3 linked regions of the Medicago truncatula genome follow. The protein of the gene in region 1 binds, or shares a complex with, the protein of each later gene. Links are inferred from orthologs where the notes say so. Each region holds a gene or a part of one and is shown in the gene's direction. Other genes may lie near its edges.

Region 1 (3,471 bases):
AGTGACTGCAGAAGTGATCTCAGCCCTTAAAAAAATTTAGAAGGTCCATATAATTTTGTTTTAACTGTCAACTGTTTGATTATTTTCAATGGCCGTGATTTACATGCTTGTGTGAATTTACGATTCCCTGACTGCAGGGAATTGAGTCCTTCGAGCACCATCAAAAGTATTCTTATTCCCTTCATTAGTCCTTTGTCCGTTGCAATTCTCATGTATTCTATTGGACCACAGGTTTCAAAGCTACTTCAAGGCGATATTGATGCAATCAAGTGGGCAAGACTAGAAGTCAATGCTTTGGAAGCGCATGAAATGCTCGATGATGAAGTATGTCCACCAAGTAATATACAGTCACATCTTAATCTTGCACTGCTTGATGTGGATGATGACTCACTCTCCATGTACAGTGTTGAGCAAAGTGTTTCATTAGAGGACTACTTGAGAGGCAGGTGGAGCCGAGCATCAAGTTTTGACTGAGCAAATTACAGCATATATTGCTTGCTACAATTTTTTTTATTCTTCTATACTTTTTATTTTAATATCTTGTAGATACTGTTTTCCTTTGCATCTTAATATAGCTTTGGCATATTCATGGTTTTTCTTAAATGGGGGGTTTAGGATGAGAGGTTGTTTGTATGTGCCCTCCTCCTTACCTTAATAATTAGGAAACTATGCCTCCTCAATTTGTTGGGCTAGTACCCCTTTTTTCATTATACTTCAAATGCTGTCTAGTTTTGCTCCATTGAGTTTTGTATAGGATGAGAAGTTGTATTTTAGAGTATTAGGATCATTGCTCTTAATCCTAATAATACGACAACAATTTTGTCGCTTGGATTCTTCCATATGTAATGTAATTTGACTTAATGCATGTTTTGATTTACTGTGAATTTAACGGAGTTAGGGTGTGTGTCACCGTGATTTTAACAAAAAGAATACTTTGAGGCTTCAATAAAATGACAGTACTACCATAATTTCATCAAATTCACTATCATTCAAACATGCACTTAAATATCATTTGTCTTGCAACCTCTTCATGCATATTTAGTTTCTCTCTGGAGATATGTCCGTATCAGGTACACTTATACAATGCTGGGCACCAAAATGGTTGAGAAATGGCCAATTGGTAAAAAATCCAAAACTGTAAGAAAATAATGTGTAGTTTCCAAAATAAAGTAAAAAAGAAAGAAAATAAAAAAATTGTAATAATGCAATGGTGGGATTATTTAAGGATATATATACAGTGTATATTTTAAAACTCATAATAAACCATATGCATGGGTAAAATTGGAAATTGCTCTTTATTTCCTGTATTTCTTCTGTGACCACAAACATTTCCTTCCAGTTATTATGTAACAAATCTTATCCATAGCAGAAGGAGTGAAGCTAAGCAATATGCACACTAATAAGTCCCACTTGTAAGTACTTGTTGGCCATTAAAGGCAAAAAACACCACTAAATCAAACATGGCCACAAGTTGTTCCTACATGGTTTCTACCAAATTATCCATACTAGGTTGGACAGGAGGAAGAAGAAAAGAAGTAAGAAACAGAACTCCATTTTTCATATCAGCTCAACAACAATCTGATGTTAAGGAAACAGATGGTGTGAAAGTAGGAGAAGAGAAAGAAATACCACAAAATCAACAAATTAATCCAAAAGGAACAAAACCAAGGCCAGTTGAACCTCAGGTGATTGTAAAAGATCAAGGCATGACCAGGGAATACGGAGGACAGTGGTTGAGTTGTGCCACGCGACATGTGAGGATCTATGCAGCTTATATTGATCCAGAAACTAGTGCTTTTGATCAAACTCAGATGGATAAACTTACTCTTATTCTTGATCCTACTGATGAGTTTGTGTGGAATCCTGATACTTGCAACTTGGTTTATTCTTACTTTCAGGAGCTTGTGGATCACTATGAGGTAGTTTCCTTAAACATAGTCAAATATATACAATAGTTTTTGTCTTAGAATAGTTTCATATATACTGAATTCACATATACTATAATTCAAGACTAGCATGTAGGCTTCTGCTTAGCAAAATATGTAGAAAAAACATGAAAACTGATGCAAAAATAAATTATCAATACATGGATAGATAATAGTCTATGCTTAAATTTAAGATTGAGAGCTCAAGTGGTTGATGAACTCTAGTTAAAAGTGAATTGTTCGGAAGTATTCGAGTTCAAATCCTGACGAGAACAATTCTTAGTCAGACCACTTTATTTACCTTTCAGGCAAACTCTGGATGGTTAAGATAAAAAAAAAAGTTCTACACTTGGCGGCCATAATTAAAGACAAAATACAAAATTTGTTTATAATTCCGTTGCTAAGTTTTAGAAATATTAACAGGAGAACTATTTTATTTTTTCTGTATCTGGTTTATTAAATTTTGTAACAGTGCTAGTTGTTAATCCAAAAACCTAGGAGAAGGAAAAATATAATTAGATTTTAGTTAGTATGTGCTAGTTTTGAGCCAATTAAGTGTTAGAATTATATTAACCTTTTTGATAATTGAAAACAGGGTGCTCCATTGAATGAATACACACTTCGCTTGATTGGTTCAGACATAGAGCATTATATAAGAAAGTTGTTATATGATGGAGTAATCAAGTATAATATGAATGCAAGGGTTCTGAATTTCAGCATGGGGAAGCCACGGATCATGTTCAACAACAATGATATCCAACCTGAAGATGCAAGTACTTGAGAAATAATTTGTGAAACACACCAAGAAAAGTGAGCAAATCATTGATGTTTTTTGTGTATGATGAATCAGTCAGATATGTTATTACAATTACTAGTTCTTTAATTTGTAAATCATCAAAGATAGAATAAAAATCTCTTGTCCAATATCAGATTTTTTTTGGGGTTGAGTAAAACCAATGCAAATGCTCAAAATAAGTAAGAACATCAATAATAAAAGTTATGAACAAAGATTAAAAATAGTCCTCTTAGCTAGCTAATAAGCATTCATGCTAACTTGTCTCTTAGTGGACTTGACCTAATAGTTTAAACAATGTAAAGAGGTCTCCACTATTAATCAAAGAATCAAACTCGGTGATATGTTGTTGAGAATGCTTAAAGTCATCGACCACAAACTTGATATCCATCTCAAAAAGCGCATCTATTAAATGTCAAGAGGAGAGCCCTAGTGGAACATCACATTGGATCAAGAGCAAGTTGGACACCAATCTTAATTTAAAATCTTAAGGTATTATGTATATTAGTCCTCTAACTTATATATTTTTCAATATTCAGTTATCCATTTAATATGGAGTTTCTGACTCGCTTGTTACACAACAATCTTCCTATCAAGTGGAAGCTTTTTCATTCCATTTGCATTGCCATTGCCACAACATCAATGAAATAGACCATCGAACGATTATTGTCAGAAAGACTTTCGATACAAGGAGTTTGATCCTTTAGTAACTATCGTCTTTGTTATTGTTATTGGGTCATGAGGGAAGGCATG
Region 2 (3,315 bases), on another chromosome or scaffold:
ATATAAACAAAATTTACAATGCATACAAATTAAATCTTATATTTAGTCACTCCGATGAATTTATTTGTTATGGATATTTGAAAGAAAGAAAGAAAAAAAAAAAAAAATATATATATATATAGGGAATGGAAGTTTTTTAAGATAGAATAGCCTTTATGGGATTCTCTATTCAAGGTTTTTATTAGTGGAACTCCATTTCAATTGTCATTAGTGATTAAATTCTTAGAGGAACAAATTCATTACAAGATTATGAAAGAATTACTGTTATGAACTTATGAAGAAACACTCAAAATGAAGTTATTATACAGTATATGATATTATAAATAAACTTAATAATATCTGTTCAATATTTTGATTAATTCACATTGCGACAACTTCAATTTATAAAACAACATCCGTAAAAACCCGAAATTGCAAAATCCTTAACGCAACCGCAACCTCGAACACGACCATTATTTAAAACCTTGCTCTCAGTGATGGTAACCAACACATTGGAATGATGGCTGTCATTGTGCATGCTTTTGCAAGCCGAATTTCGCTTAAGAAAAACCAAAGGATTTTGTTTATTTATTTTTTTGTCATGAAATGGGAGTTTCATTTGTCACTTGTGATAGATGGTAATTTCTTTATAGGCCTCATTAATCGCTCAACCTATCAAAACGTATCTTTCGATAGGGTTTATTTTGTTTATAGAACCAGAAACTATTTTCCCAGATGCGTTTTCACTGAATTTTAAGCAATTCAGGAGGCCTATAAAACAATTTTCGTGCTAATAAGAACCCACCCAAAAGAGATACTCTAAGCCCACTATATAAATTAAGTCCACATACATCCTTGACCCCAAAAAAAAAAAAAAAAAAAAAAACACATCAAAACTAAAATTACAAAACCACCCTTAATAATGATATCCTTTCTAGTGCCACTTAGTGGACACCATAGCACTAGCACTTCCCAAATGGATATGTCACAAATTTTTTATTTCCAAAAACTTTAATGAATTATCTATCTTAATTTCTCAAACACTTGTACTCATTTGAGTTATGGCTCCTCTAACAAATTTGCATGGAGTCTCCAAAACTTTAACTCCAATTACATGCCTTGTTCCAAATGCACAAAGAACCTTTAAGACAGGACAAGTAGTAGTTGGATTTCTTGGAAGCAAAACAAAGAAAATATCAGAATGTGAATCAGTTAACACTACAAGAAGAGCAGCTGCAATAAGCCTTGTTTCTTTAGTTCTTACAGGACAATTCAGTGAGAAGATTTCACTGGCTAAGGATAATGGATTTTGGATTGATGGACCTATTCCAGAACCAACTGTCACTAATAGTAAGATTAATTTCTTATTGTTCTTGCTTGTATACATGCATTTCATTGCTCTTATGTTTGTTTTGATGTTATGTTTCAATTGACATTGGACAATTATGATTGGTTTTTTGTTCTTTCTTTTACTATTTTCTTTTATAGTTATGATTGAAAGTTAGCATGGTGAACTTAAAAATATTAATTGTACTATCATGGTGAAGTTAAAAAATAACTATTGACCTATTAGTGAAGTACAATGCCAATAGATATATTAAATCGATGGTTATAGTTAACTTCATCACGATGGTTTAATCTTTTAAGTTCACTGTACTAAATGTCGCCTTACTGATAAGTGCACAAGTCGCTTGAGTTGACTAGACCATACTAAGTGGCTTAGGAGTAATCATGTAAATTGGACCGTAGCATTTAAAGTAAATTTGTAAAAGTAATCCTAAGCTTGAATAATATATAGAATATCAATGTAGTCAGAGAACGTAGACACAACTGGCCGAGCCCTGAGATAAAATGTTGTGTTTTCTTTGTTTGCGTTTTTCGTATCTGTTTACTTTTGAATCAAGGTTCTTGTTCTAACGATGTGAATGATGATTATATGGTTAGATATTGCAAATGAGAAAACTGGGACGCGTTCTTTTATTAAAAAGAAACTCTACATGGCAAATATTGGAGCAAAAGGAAGTGTTTTAAGGATCAAGAAATATGCATTTGATCTTCTTGCAATGGCGGATTTGATTGCACAAGACACACTCAACTATGTTAGGAGGTACCTAAGACTCAAGTCAACATTCATGTACTTTGATTTTGACAAGGTTATCTCTGCTGTCCCAGTTGAAGATAAGCAACAATTAACTGATGTGGCAAACAAATTGTTTGATAATTTTGAAAAGGTATGCTCCTTTTTATATTGCGGTTACATAGAGTCGCATTTTAGTGCTTGATATTGCAGGAAAAAGTGGTCGATGCCACTGTAATCCAAAATATTGCAGACAAATGTGGCTGATGCGACCACAATTGCGGCCATGTTTGTGTTGTGGCCGCAATTGTGGTCCAACGACATTTGTGCTGTAATTGCAGTTGTTGACCGCAATTTACTATTATGTGAATAGATGTTGGGTTAATGAATTGAATTTTTTATGCAATGACAGCTTGAAGAAGCTTCAAGGAACAAAAATCTACTTGAAACACAAGCATGCTATAAAGAAACTGAAGTTATGCTTAAAGATGTCATGGACAGGATGACTATAATGTATAAAACAATTTGACATGATTTTAATTAAGCTGTATTTTTTACTCTTGTCAAAACAATTTTGTGTTTTTGATTGTGTTGATTCAAGATAAGGACGTTTTTACCTTGTAGATAGATAAATGCTATAATTTCAGCAAAATTTTCAAATGTATAATAGTGTTCTTTCTTCTTTTTTTAAAAATTCTTTTGGTTTCAATCACAATGTTGCCAATTCTATCTATAATAAAAATTCTGTTAGTTTAAATAATCATTAATCAACTTCAATTAAAAACAAATTGTGAGGAGAATCCTATTTCCGGTCATAACCGAAGCAATTATTAGTGTGACTTTACTTATCTTTCGATCTGAATTATTGATTACTGCAGTCCATTTCCCTCAAAATCATAGGTTTAATCGAAACAATAAAAACATATTATGCTCTTTTTTTTATTAAAAATAAAATAAAATACTATGCTCACATTGCCACATGTACAAATTTTGGAGTTTGGAGGAGTTAGGAAGTCTAATAAATTTTACTTGGATTATACAACAAGTTTTTTAATATGGTTCAGGAATTGACTCTCTACCACAAGGTACGACTTAATTAATTGACAAGTTAAATATTGTATTAATATTTAACTTGCTTTGCAAGAACTCAAGCTTAGATTGAGACTTATCACCATCAAACTTAGCTATGCTACATGTTAATCCATCAACATACATATGGCAGATGATACGTCATTGTACTCCCATTTCTTTCTTAAGTT
Region 3 (3,077 bases), about 3.6 Mb from region 1:
CTTATTAATCCACCAAGGATTTTGTTTTTGTTTTTCCTTTTGTTGTTTTTTTAGCTTAATTTTCATACCGTTGAATTGAATTGGCTTCATCTGTGAGCTAAATTTCTCACTCTTGTTTTTTATGAAATGGGTTTATGAGAAGTTTTATTTTTTTGCCACCCTTTTGATGGATCTTCATAAATTCAATAACTTTATTTTATTTTTTTGCAATATGAAAAAATGGGGATTTATTAGTAGCAGATTAGATCTTTTGGGTATGATGGTTCTCCGTAATTGATATGTGAGATCTGATCACAATCTGCAAATAATCATGTTACGATTTTTGTATTATTAGTTGATAGAATTTGAAAATGAAGAACATAAAAGCAAGTATATCCAAACACATTGAATATGAAAGCTGGAAAATGAAGAACAGAGATGGTAGGGAAGATAACAGAATAGAGAGAACAGAAAAGCAATTTTTCAGCGGTAGTTAACTGCTGCCGGTTCCTGAACGGTAGTTAACTACCGCTGGGGGCATTTAAGTATTTTACTTATGTCATTGTGAAATTTTCAATGTCAGAAAAGCAATTTTCAAACAAATTTAGGAGAGTTGAGCTCTAAGGACTCACTAGAGTCAAGACAGATCTCAAGATTCAATTAACACTTATAAGTCATTCGTGAAAAAGGTCATTGAGATTTGAACCTACATCCACAAATCAACTTTTCATCGGTTGAGTAAATTTTCATTGTTTTTTTTGGTTACAAGTAAATTTTCATTGTTAAGTTAACAATTGTTTGGAAGATAAATTTGTCTATTATTTACCAAATAAAATAAGATGTCCAACGTTAAAATTTCTAGCACCAATTTTGGAAATTAAGTTATTTTAAACTTTAGAAGCTGATGTGAAATTCCTCTAAAGATCAAAACTTTTGGTACACTTGAATCCCTCTTTTTTATGGCGTGACATTATTTGTTCTTATTCACACTACTATAGTGACGTGCCCAACAAAAGAGTCATCTTCTTATCTCTAGTTGTATGTATGGCATTGTGTCTCTCTTAATGGCTTTCTGTGTGTCTCTCTGCTGCTACACCTCCTTCCCTTCTCTTTCCCATTTCTCAAAAACTTTGACAAGGAAACATGTCCGTTCTTCTTTCCCTTTGATTTGTGCAGTTCAATCCGGCGAACCAGGTGGCAGCTCACAGTCACAGCCTAAGAGTTCTGATGCTTCCTCATCCTCCTCTACTACTGCTCCTAAGACTCTTCCTAAGAAACCTGTTTATTCCAGTGAGTCAAGCAACCAAATAACTATTTATTTGGATTTTATATGTATGCTGAATGCTGCTGCTGTCTGTGTGATTATTTATTCATTTTTGTTAATTGTTGGACAGTGAAGAAAGGTCAGATTGTGAGGGTGGACAAGGAGAAATATCTCAATAGCATTAATGTAAGAAGACTATCATTGATTTAGTTTCAATTATAGTTATTTCAACTGTGAGGAGGAGGACTTAAATAACATGTACTAAGGTTAATTTTTCAGTATCTTTCTGTTGGGCACCCACCCTATTACAAAGGATTAGACTACATTTATGAAGACCGTGGTGAGGTAAACAAACAAACACCAAAAGATTATGAAAACAAAATAGTTTATATGATTAGTGTTTATCTAACTAGAAATGTCAAACTGTATTTGTAGGTCTTGGATATGCGTATATTTGAAACAGGAGAGCATGCACTTGTAAGTAACTTGTCAATAGTGTGTGTGTTTTAGGTGTGAACCAAAGGCAGCTGACAGCGTGCCAATTATTTTTCATACCAACAGCATGATATTTGAAGTTTAAGTTTTAGTATTCTAACACAAAAACTGTACCATTGCTCAATTCTCAGGTTGCATGGGTAGGAGTCCCCACTGCTCCAGCTTGGCTTCCTACATACATGCTTATCAAGGTAATGCTTAACTTGTTCCAATGAAATCTGATGTAAATTGTTTAACTTTATCTACATATACGCGACCTATTTTCATTTTAGTTGCTTTGAAAGCACCCAAGTCCTAACTCTTACTTTTTTGTTGCAGTCAGAGAAGCTCAATTATGAGAGGCTATAACACTCCTTTTCTTCTAGTATTGTAAGATGCGAGATTCAAGAAGATTGATTCAAAATACCATCAGAGACGCCCACCATACCCCATTTTAGTTGAGCTGCGTGATCAATTCGAATGACTACTGTCAATTATTTGGAAAATTTAGTTGTGCTACCCAGATGATGTTTTCGGCCATGACTATCATTGTATTTATGCTTCTATATTTTAGTTTTTAATAAATGACATAGTTAAAGATATGATGCACATCAAGGGCAATCATCAGAAAAATAACGAGATGTGAAAATCAACTGCAAATACACTTCATTTGCACCTGTAGGTCAAATAAAGCACTAAAACAAAATGTTTTTTTATATATTGTTTATTCAACAATGCAACTTATTTTCCATGTTAGGGAGTAGAATGAATCTCTTCACTAAAATTGCATAATTGTAGAACTTGAGGTATCAAATATTTAACCAAGATTGAAGGCAGAAAAAAATGCCACAAAAGCTTATAACTTTTGCTCTCCAGTCATTGGCCTCAAACTTGCATTTATATGTGATACTTTTGGATGGAAAAAAAAAAAAGAAAAAAGATTTCAATTGCCATCATAGAACATCATATATATGAACTCTCTCTCAATCTAGATCCTCTGTGATTAAGCATCTTTTATTAAAAGAAAAAATATCAACTATAATTGGAACAAATTACCAACATTTTACTGTGCTGTGCAAATCGGCGACATCACAGCTAAGGCACTGTCGATGCATCAGGATGCTTCCATACACATCCAACAACCTGTTTTATTGTTCCATAAGCTGAATTGTCAAATGTGCCTAGTTAATGATGTTGAAGAATAGTGAATTTTCTTTTTACTAATGTGATTGATCAAACGACTTTGAATTGGAAGAAATCGAAAAGTGAGCTTCACTAATTCTAGAACACTTTCCAAAGCAGATATCAAGTTATCAACCATGCCATGATCTAATAAATTTTAAAATCTAAGAAGGCTATG

What was found.
Region 2: NAD(P)H-quinone oxidoreductase subunit M, chloroplastic (region 1) and photosynthetic NDH subunit of lumenal location 3, chloroplastic share a complex: the UniProt entries of both Arabidopsis thaliana proteins name them as parts of the chloroplast NDH complex. The link is inferred for Medicago truncatula from reciprocal best matches to the Arabidopsis thaliana genes NdhM and PnsL3.
Region 3: NAD(P)H-quinone oxidoreductase subunit M, chloroplastic (region 1) and NAD(P)H-quinone oxidoreductase subunit O, chloroplastic share a complex: the UniProt entries of both Arabidopsis thaliana proteins name them as parts of the chloroplast NDH complex. The link is inferred for Medicago truncatula from reciprocal best matches to the Arabidopsis thaliana genes NdhM and NdhO.

Annotation. Positions count from the first base shown.
Region 1 is NC_053044.1:43,827,518-43,830,988, forward strand, and holds NAD(P)H-quinone oxidoreductase subunit M, chloroplastic, read left to right. Parts: upstream 1-1,350; 5' UTR 1,351-1,460; coding exon 1,461-1,919; intron 1,920-2,520; coding exon 2,521-2,706; 3' UTR 2,707-2,854; downstream 2,855-3,471. Other genes in the region: probable receptor-like serine/threonine-protein kinase At5g57670, read left to right, coding at 232-474. UniProt on the Arabidopsis thaliana protein: NDH shuttles electrons from NAD(P)H:plastoquinone, via FMN and iron-sulfur (Fe-S) centers, to quinones in the photosynthetic chain and possibly in a chloroplast respiratory chain.
Region 2 is NC_053043.1:40,755,334-40,758,648, reverse strand, and holds photosynthetic NDH subunit of lumenal location 3, chloroplastic, read left to right. Parts: upstream 1-941; 5' UTR 942-1,040; coding exon 1,041-1,329; intron 1,330-1,923; coding exon 1,924-2,210; intron 2,211-2,468; coding exon 2,469-2,585; 3' UTR 2,586-2,689; downstream 2,690-3,315. UniProt on the Arabidopsis thaliana protein: NDH shuttles electrons from NAD(P)H:plastoquinone, via FMN and iron-sulfur (Fe-S) centers, to quinones in the photosynthetic chain and possibly in a chloroplast respiratory chain.
Region 3 is NC_053044.1:47,465,980-47,469,056, reverse strand, and holds NAD(P)H-quinone oxidoreductase subunit O, chloroplastic, read left to right. Parts: upstream 1-943; 5' UTR 944-1,019; coding exon 1,020-1,269; intron 1,270-1,373; coding exon 1,374-1,429; intron 1,430-1,522; coding exon 1,523-1,588; intron 1,589-1,678; coding exon 1,679-1,720; intron 1,721-1,869; coding exon 1,870-1,929; intron 1,930-2,056; coding exon 2,057-2,086; 3' UTR 2,087-2,435; downstream 2,436-3,077. UniProt on the Arabidopsis thaliana protein: NDH shuttles electrons from NAD(P)H:plastoquinone, via FMN and iron-sulfur (Fe-S) centers, to quinones in the photosynthetic chain and possibly in a chloroplast respiratory chain.